2 linked regions of the Drosophila melanogaster genome follow. The protein of the gene in region 1 purifies or fractionates together with the protein of each later gene. This does not show direct contact. Each region holds a gene or a part of one and is shown on either strand. Other genes may lie near its edges. The genes, in order: Rpn9 and Rpn3.

Region 1 (4,857 bases):
AATGGAATCCCAAGTTGAATTGGTATCAATGAATTCACAGTGTGGGTCAAGAAAATATGAGCAATATTTGCTTTAATAGTATAAAAAAAAATAACTAAAGGCTAGATTCTTTTCCGAAATTGTGGAAATATAGATACTTCATCATATTTAATCCATCATAGAATTAGCTACTAAAAACATAAAAGATTGTATTAAGTCATTAAATGGATCTTATTTGTGCACCTCTTGAATGACGCATGAATGAGCTGCCTTGCAGGGTGATCTATCTATTTAACTATTGACATTGACGAGAAGACTGCAGTTGCTATAATTTCGATCGCGGCTGCCTGCCCAAGAGCTTGGCACAAAAATCGAATATGAACATGCGAGAAACCAAGCCGAACCCAACTCTTTCGCAACTCGGGGCAACTGGATTGGCCTGTAATTGAATAATATTACTACTTGGCTGCAGCAGCAACAAAAAGTGAGCAACAAAATACAAAAAAAAAAAAAAAAAACAAGGAAGCGGCAATGCACTTGACAAAGCTGCTTCACTTGTTGCAGCAGTTTTATGGTTTATGTTTTTTCTACATCTTTTTCTTTTGCTTTTGTTTGGTTTTTGTGGCCACTGCATCGGCGGCGACTGTGTGGCATTTTTCACTTTTGCTTTTAATAGCCAGATGCTGTTGCTGTCTGTCGTCTGGGACGGAGATGAAGATGAAGTCGTCATCCGACGGCGTTTTTTTTTTCGGAATTTGTTTTGGATTTTTGAAATTGCCGCTCTTCACATAACCGTAATACGCCTTCAGCCGGTTTTCATATATACCATACATATCCATATATATATATATTATAGTTGTGCATCGTTTCTGTCGCTGCCAGATGTCGCCCATTTCGATTTTGGTAAATTGGTAAAGTGGGGAACAGGCCAAGGAAATCAACTGCTACATCGAGAAAGTAGTAGTACTTTCTTTCTACCAAAAACGCACAGTGGCGTCAGGAAATGAAAAGAAATGTTGACAGCGCAGCAGGATGTTACAGTAAACTCTGGCCGATTTGGTTCAAGTGTTTTTTTTACTGCGAAGGACGCACAAAATAGGCGACATCTGTGCAATATTACTCAAAAAGAAGGCATTTACATACTGTAAAATGCAGTACAATTCGGTTGATATATTTCGTTTATGTACAAATCCATACAAATGTTGAATCTTCCAATTCAATAGCTTTTTGAGTTCCAAATTCTCTATCAGCTCGAAAGTAATTTAATTATCGTTTCTTTACCCAACGCTCCTGTGCTCAAGTGGCTTTTGCTTTTCAAAGAGAAAGTTGTCCAACACCCATTGCAAGCCAAGAACTTTTAATAGACGGCGGCGACGTGGTGCCCACTGAGTGATAAGATTGGGGAGCCCCAATTGCATAACTGTCTACTAACCAAATAGTGGGATACAATGTACAACCAATTATGCAGTTCTCAATGGAACGCGATCGTATCCAATGGGAACCGCTGGCCCAATCAGTAGGGCCATGCTGCTTGGAATTTCGAAGCCAAAAGGGGGAACCTCGTCGGGCAGAGTAGTGACCCCCAAAAAGTCGAAAATAGAACCCAGAACTAACCTTGCTTTTCGACGAGGAATCGATCGTTTGCTTGGAGATCGGTGACAAATAGTTGACACGCGCCTTAATCCACAAAAGAAATGCTAATGAGGATCTCTTTTGGCGGAGTGCGGTTTCCAGTTGGAGCGGTCGTTGTGGTCGCTAACTAGTTCTTCTCAGTTTGTCAACTTTCTGCGAACAAATCCACATAGTTTCTTGCACGACGCGTTGTTTGGCTTACATTTATATAACCACTAATTGCGGCACTTTCGTTCGCGAAATTCGATTGCTACTTTATTTGGCTAACAAATAGTTAAATGTGCAAAACACACGACAGCTTTACTTTTTTTTAGTTAGTTCAGGGCGCACACTCGAGTTGTTGTATTTGGTTTTGTTGGCAGTGCTGCTGTGGCCCGGTTAAATATCGATATTCTCGCGGATCGGGCTAACTGGCTAATTGGCTGCGCGGCGACTCTCTGCCAAGTGGAATCCTGGAGTGCGGAAATATAAACTGTTTCGCTGCGAGCTCCAAAACGAATTGAAACGTTGTTTCTTCCGCGTACACAACTTCACGCAGAAACAGCTGTTCGGTTAGTGTGACCAGACGGTGAGTACAACGTAAGCCCAAGCCCCGCAGCTGTTGTTATCGAATGAGTCATCGAGTAGTTTCTAGGCACTGAAATAATATCATAAATAATGCTTTCCATGTGATATAAAAATAAAAAATACAGCCATTTGTTATTATGTAAGCCTTTTTTAGTTCATAAATAAATTTTACATAAAAATTCGCCCAAAAATACAAAATACCAAAATAAGCTAAAAAAAAACAAACGGCCACACAAGCGATCTGTCAATGTGACAGCTGCGTCGGCGATTGTGATTTGCAATTTTTGTAGTTTGGGAATACATTAAACATTACATTTGAAATTAATTCAACACAAAGCGCAGTTGCGATGTCCAATCCTCAGCCTAATGTCACCGCCTATCTGGCGACCCAGAAGAAGACCACCAACAAAGAACTCGCCGCCGAATGGACGCTCATCGAGGAGCTCTACAATGAAAAGTTAGATCTGGGCTTTAAATTTCAATTTTCCTCTTGTAATACAATTATTTTACAGACTCTGGAATGAGCTGACCATCAAACTGGTGACCTTTGTGCGCCACGAATCCTTGCAGGACGAAACTGCGCTGCTGCAGCTCTACCAGAATTTCCTGTCCACCTTCGAGACCAAGTGAGTCGGCTTCTGCAAATGACTCGGCAGAATCTAATGTATTGTATTTGCAGAATAAACCCCTATGGCCTCATCCAGATTCTCGAGGTGGTGGTTGACAACATCGGTGACAAGAAGGAGGCCATCGAGTTCTTGGAGAAGATGAAGGACAAGGTGAAGATCTGCGACGAGGCCGTTTGGTATCTGCAGGTGATGCAGGGTAATCTGTACCTCAGCAACCTGAACGATCTGAATGCCACCAAGAAGATCATCGAGGAACTGCGTGATGTCCTAGAGGAAGCGGGTAATGTGACGCCCGTTCACGGCAAATACTACATGCTGGCATCCCAGTATTATCGGCGAGTGGGCAAGCACAGCGATTACTACCGATGTGGCCTACAGTTTCTGGGCTGCTCCATGGATGAGTACCCCCGTGATCAATGGGCCCAGCAGGCATTCTTCTTGGGTCTGGCTGCTCTCTTGGGCGATGGTGTCTACAACATAGGCGAATTGCTGGCTCATCCCATTCTTGAGTCGCTTAAGGGCACGGAAAATGAGTGGCTCATGGAACTTCTTAAAGCCTTCAACACGGGCGATATTAACAAGTGTGTAGTAATAGCAATTTAATATCTGCAGTAACTAACACTTTCTATTATTCCTTTGCAGGTTTAATGACATGAAGAAAATCTGGTCCAAGATTCCCGATTTGGCTGCCCAGGAGGTCAAGTTGCGCCAGAAGATCTCCCTCCTTTGCCTCATGGAGATGACCTTCAAGCGCTCAGCCATCGAGCGAGCCATCTCCTTTACCGACATCGCGCAAGAGACCAAACTGCCCGCCAAGGAAGTGGAACTGCTTATCATGAAGGCTCTGGCTTTGGATCTCGTCCGCGGCGAGATTGACCAAGTGGCTGGAGTGGTTAACATGTCGTGGGTGCAACCACGCGTCCTCAACCGCAGCCAGATTGTCGGCATGGCCAGCACTCTGGACACATGGATGGGCGCCATCACGAACATGGAGAAACTGATGGAGAATCGTGCCGCCGAAATCCTCACCAATTAGTTTTAGTTTCGCCTGATCTAGACGATCCCACATATTCACATTTTGCGCGAATGCTTTTGTATTTAATTAAAAACCCAAATACTGTATTCATTTCTTTTCATATGTAATTTAACTCCCTGACAGTTGCGTGTAAAAAGTTTTTTTGTGCTTAATCCTAGCTTATTGGCTAAATCAGATCACTTATGGAGGAGTTGCTGCTTATGATTAGGCCTAGGATTATTTACAATTTAAAGAAATACGTCAAATTTGGCAATAGACTCTGGTTACCTAACAAGCTAAAATGTCGATCAATAATTTGGAATTTGCTGTAGCAAAAAACGCGACCTGCATAGCACTTGGCCGCCAGCACACCAGAAATCAAATGTTCAGGCAACGCAGCTTGGTGTCGGGCACACGGGAGGTGAACTCGAAGGATGGCGGGCGGCGGATGTCCTCGTGCGAGTCGCGGCGTATCCTATCTGGATTGCGGCCCATCACAGATGACAGAGGTATTTGGCGGCGGTACAGTTCCTCTAAAACCAATTGCTCCAGCTCGAACAGATGATCGTCCCTCACGCCGGGAATCTCCTCGTGCATGAACAGGGCCAGGCGCAACAGGTACTCGGCATTGTGTCCGCTGGGACCGCGGCAGGATACGATCTGCTGGGCAATCTCCTCGACCGGGTCATCGCCCAACCAATAGATATTCTCTGGCGTCGCCACATAGACCAGTACCTCGACCGCCTCGCCGCTGAAGGGCGTGTCCTGCGAGGCGACGCGCGGGAAGAACTTGGTATCGATTGTTGCATAGCCACCTGTTGGAGTCATCGTGGGTTAGCTCAAATGATGGTCCCCACTTCTCTTCAATTCGATTTACTTACCCAGTGTGCACTCCCGCTGCTTGAGATAATCCAGTGCCGTGCTGCCTGTTATTCTGTAGGCGCAGCCCCAAGTGATTCCCTGCAATCAAAAATGGGAAATGTATATTTAATAAAATACACAAAAACATGTGGTTCACATAGATCTAAAAATATT
Region 2 (4,254 bases), on another chromosome or scaffold:
GCGCGTTAGCGGGGTAGGGGGTGCGCGGGCGGCGGGTGGCGGGGGGCTGCACCACATTGGCCAGGCACTCGCTGCTTCGCAAAACGCTCGCTGTTCGGCCGCTGTTATTCGGAGGAGACTACTCGCCGCTGTCACAAAAAACCCAGCAATTTCCGCGAAACTCCCCGATAGGCGCGCGTTGCACTTTTCGGCAGCAAAATACAGTACGTAGGATCGCGTATTAGGGCATTTAATACGCACGGCCTTTAATTAATTTGCATTGTGTGCACCTTTTTGTCTAAAAATTTTTTCCACTTTGATTTGTGTGACCGTGGCTGCTGTTTGTGTTGTTTGCGCCAGTGTGACCGTTAATACTGCCGACCAAAACCTTCGTCAGAAAAAGTGTGCTTTTTGTGGAAGGTCGTGTTTAAAGTAATTGAAATAATATTTGCATCTTTTCCATCTATAATTTACATATCATAAATTACCTCTATCAATCAGAGAAAAGTCCTGCCAATGTACTTAAGGGATCTTTAATAAAATAGCTTTGGAGGGAAAAGATCTAAAGAAGAATATGAATCTATGTTGCCAGACTTCGTTTTAAATTAACGCGCCAAGGCTGCCAGAAGAGTGACATTTTTAAAATGTTTTTCCATTTCTAACCGAATTGAAATTTTTGATTGTCTACCAACAACAACATACAACTTTTTGCTTGAATAAAAAGAAAGATCAGTTCTGAACTATTTTTGATTTCCAATACCTAATTAAAAAAGTTCCGAAATTATTGTAACTTATTTAATTGCGGATTATATTTCTATAAAAATGAATGCAAGCACAAATTAATTTGCAGAATCAGCCGCTTAGAAACCATCCTCATCATCCTCGGCCATCTCCTTGGCCAGCTCAAGGTCCTGCTGCTCCCGCTCGCGTCTCTCCTCGGCGCTCTCCAAATCCTTGCCGTAGGACTTTGGGGGATAGCGCATGGCCTTAACGCTCTGGTTGTGCAGGTTCAGGCAGAACGAGATGCGCTCGTGAAAGGCCAGCTGCGGTTCCCGGGTGCTGTAGATGTCCGTACTTTCCTTGCTGCGCATGAAATTCTGGGCTGGGTCCAACGTAGCCTCAATCACGCCGTCCCGTATAGCCTTCGATACAATAAACTCGGCATCCTCCGCGGAGTCTAGCATTAGCCGCTTGGCAATGTCTTGCGGCGAGATGCGTGAGTACGATAGTCCGATGGAGCGGATTGCCGTCTTGATCACATTGTGGCGCAGCCGGATAATCAGGGTGAATGTGTGGTCCAGTTGGAACTTGGGTCCGTATTGGGATACCACGTCGCCGAAGCGCTTCAAGTTGCCCAGACGCACGGCCTGCGTGAGCTGGAAGTAGGCACCAAGAGATTGGCGAAGACCGGCTTGCCGGAACACCACACGCTCCGGGATGTTGCCCAAAAGCAGCTCCACAACGATAATTAGCTTTTGAACCGTCTGACGAAAGCCGATGGCAGCGTGCTGCGGCGACTTACGCAGGGCCTGGACCAGATGCTTGTGGGCATCGCTGTACTCCAGCTTAGCGGCCTTAATCCGACCTAGATAGTACAGGAAACGCGCCCATTCATTGTTGCTGGCCGATTCCGGGTAGACGGATTTCTTTACCAGCTTGTCGGCTTGGTCGTACAAAGCATAGTGCAAGTAGTTGCGGAGCAAACAGTTAATAAGCACCGCCTGGCCTTCAAAATCATTACGCAGCGTAGCGGTGCGCAGACGAGCGTGCAGGAACGAGCGTATGCCTTCCAGTGAGTTTTTTAGCTCCGCCACTCTTGAAAAATAGAAGTAGGACTTGGCACCAATCAGATCAAGGGTGCGTCGGTTTTGGATGGAGATTTTGGCCATTAGGGCGTCGGCGCTAATTCCGGCCCGCTTTAAATCACTGGCGTCGATGAGCTTGACCAGCAGGAGCAGGTAGAAGTAGGCATCGACCTCGGCGATTGGAGCCTTGGTGGCAACTTGTTTTTTGGGAACATCGGGCAGCTCGGTGGCGTCTTTCTCCACAGCGGGCATCAAAGCCACGGCCGCCTCACGATCTGCACCAGCGGGGTAAATACTCTGTGCAAGATTCCGGAAGACGACGCCGTTCAGCTTGCGACGAGTGTTGGGCAAATTGCGAAGGACGCGCAGGATGAAGCTGTTGGCGGAAATGAGCCATAATAAGGAAGGGACAAGATTTTAATTCTTGCACTACTCACCGCGACTCTTTCGAGGCTACCCCCTTCTCAATCTGACGAATCTGCTCGCGGATCTCCTGCACGGCGGCCACATCTTGGTTCTTCTTCTCGTCAGCCAGCGTCTCCGCCGTTGGATCCACCTCCATCTCCACGTCGTTAGCACCGATGTCCGTTGCGTTGGTCATTTTGTAATGGAACTCTCAATTTACTGGGGTCACAAATATAGCCGACTTTTCTTTTGTTTTTCTCAATCCCAATCAAAAATGCCTAGTAATGTCGCTTCTTCTTCTTATTCGTTTTCGGCTACAGGCAGTGCTGGTAAATTTAGTTGGTTAACAGAGCTGTTAAGCCGTTACGTTTCAATTTATCGATACGTTTTACGGTACACTGAGCGAACTTTCAGTCTCATATGTTATAGGAATTTATTTTTAATGTTTTACAGTAAATGTATCTATTGCTTTAATTTGGGTTAGGAATTTCTTAAGTTACGCACTCAGTAAAAGCGTATTTTTATTTAAATTGCAATAAAACATTACCACAATTCCGTTAAGCCTTTTCTTAAGTTACGCACTCAGTAAAAGCGTATTTTTATTTAAATTGCAATAAAACATTACCACAATTCCGTTAAGCCTTTTCGATATCGATACTCCGATAACATCGCACGTTATTACTATTACAAAATAACACAAAATAAAAAATTAATACGGAATATGAATTAAATTAAAATTAAAGAGAATAAAATGTTGCGGTACAGACAAGTGGTGGGTCTCCTTCAGCGCCGTAATTTCTCGGCCGGAGCAACGAGCAATGGAAGTGGATCTTCCGGGGGCGACAAATCCGGCGAAGACCTGCACCCCATACGACGAACACTCCGTTTGCTCGGGAACGATATGCGCAAAGTTAAGGAGTTCTTTGTACCAAAGGAACCGGAGACCGAGAAAGTTCCCATTCCGACACAGAGCCAGTTTCACTTTTCAGGGGAGCGCGACAAGAGCAAGGAAGCCACTGTGCCGGATGACTTCCAGACCCATTGCGATGTGCTCATCATTGGCGGCGGTGGAGTGGGCAGCTCCATCGCCTATTGGCTGAAGGAGAAGGCCCGCGACGGTCTTAACGTTGTGGTGGTCGAGAAGGATGACACGGTAGTAAAATGATGTGTACCAGTCTACCCCGAATATTTAATTTGCCTTCCACATATTTCTAGTATGCCCAGTCAGCCACGCGTGTTTCGGTGGGCGGTCTTTGTCAGCAATTCTCCCTGCCCGAAAACATCCAAATGTCACTATTTGCCGCAGACTTCCTGCGAAGCGCAAGAAAACACTTTGGCGAGGAAGTGCCTCTCCAGTTTACGCCCCATGGCCATCTGATGCTCGCTGGCGAGGAGCACGCGGAAAGCCTGAAGCGCTCCTCTCAGCTACAAAACGAACTGGGTGCCCGAAATGAACTTCTCACTGCAGATCGACTGACTGCCAGATTCCCCTGGCTAAACACCAAGGGCATCGCTTTGGGCTGTCTTGGTCTGGAAAAAGAGGGCTGGTTTAATCCGTTGGCACTTCTGAGCAATTTCCGACGGTCAGCCAGTGGCTACGGCGCCCATTTTATCAGTGGCCAGGTGGTCGACTTCGAGTTCAAATCCCAAACGGACATTTCTGTTGTCACAGATCTTGGTTCCAACGAGGGTGCCTACACGGGCTTGGAAAAAGCGGTCATCCAACTGCCCGATGGTACGCGACGCACTTGCAAGTTCGCCCTGTGTGTAATAAGCGCCGGTGCTAGTTCCGAACAAATCGCGCGATTAGCAAGGATAGGCGTGGGTCCAGGAATACTTCGGGTTCCGCTGCCCATCAACGCACGCAAGCGATACATGTACGCCATCAACTCGCAGGCCCAAAGTGCACCCGGAATGAATATGCCCATGACAATAGATCCGTCGGGCATCTTTATTCGCAGAGATGGCCTGGGCGGCAACTATATTTGCGTGCAAGATTCGACGGAAGAGTATAATAGCGCGATGATTGATCCGCAATATTTCGCCCAGCACATCAGACCCCATT

What was found.
Region 2: the proteins of Rpn9 (region 1) and Rpn3 purify together in Drosophila melanogaster (affinity purification with mass spectrometry, with the first as the bait; one large-scale study listed by BioGRID). This does not show direct contact.

What each region holds. Positions count from the first base shown.
Region 1 is NT_033777.3:23,730,574-23,735,430, reverse strand, and holds Rpn9 (regulatory particle non-ATPase 9), read left to right. Parts: upstream 1-1,968; 5' UTR 1,969-2,179; intron 2,180-2,419; exon of another isoform or gene 2,420-2,520; 5' UTR 2,521-2,525; coding exon 2,526-2,635; intron 2,636-2,690; coding exon 2,691-2,804; intron 2,805-2,857; coding exon 2,858-3,388; intron 3,389-3,449; coding exon 3,450-3,843; 3' UTR 3,844-4,056; downstream 4,057-4,857. Other genes in the region: CG10365 (uncharacterized protein), read right to left, coding at 4,201-4,637, 4,704-4,782.
Region 2 is NT_033779.5:19,050,185-19,054,438, reverse strand, and holds Rpn3 (regulatory particle non-ATPase 3), read right to left. Parts: upstream 2,650-4,254; 5' UTR 2,386-2,649; coding exon 2,222-2,385; intron 2,161-2,221; coding exon 840-2,160; 3' UTR 758-839; downstream 1-757. Other genes in the region: l(2)37Bb (lethal (2) 37Bb), read left to right, coding at 2,941-3,342, 3,405-4,254. UniProt on the Drosophila melanogaster protein: Acts as a regulatory subunit of the 26 proteasome which is involved in the ATP-dependent degradation of ubiquitinated proteins.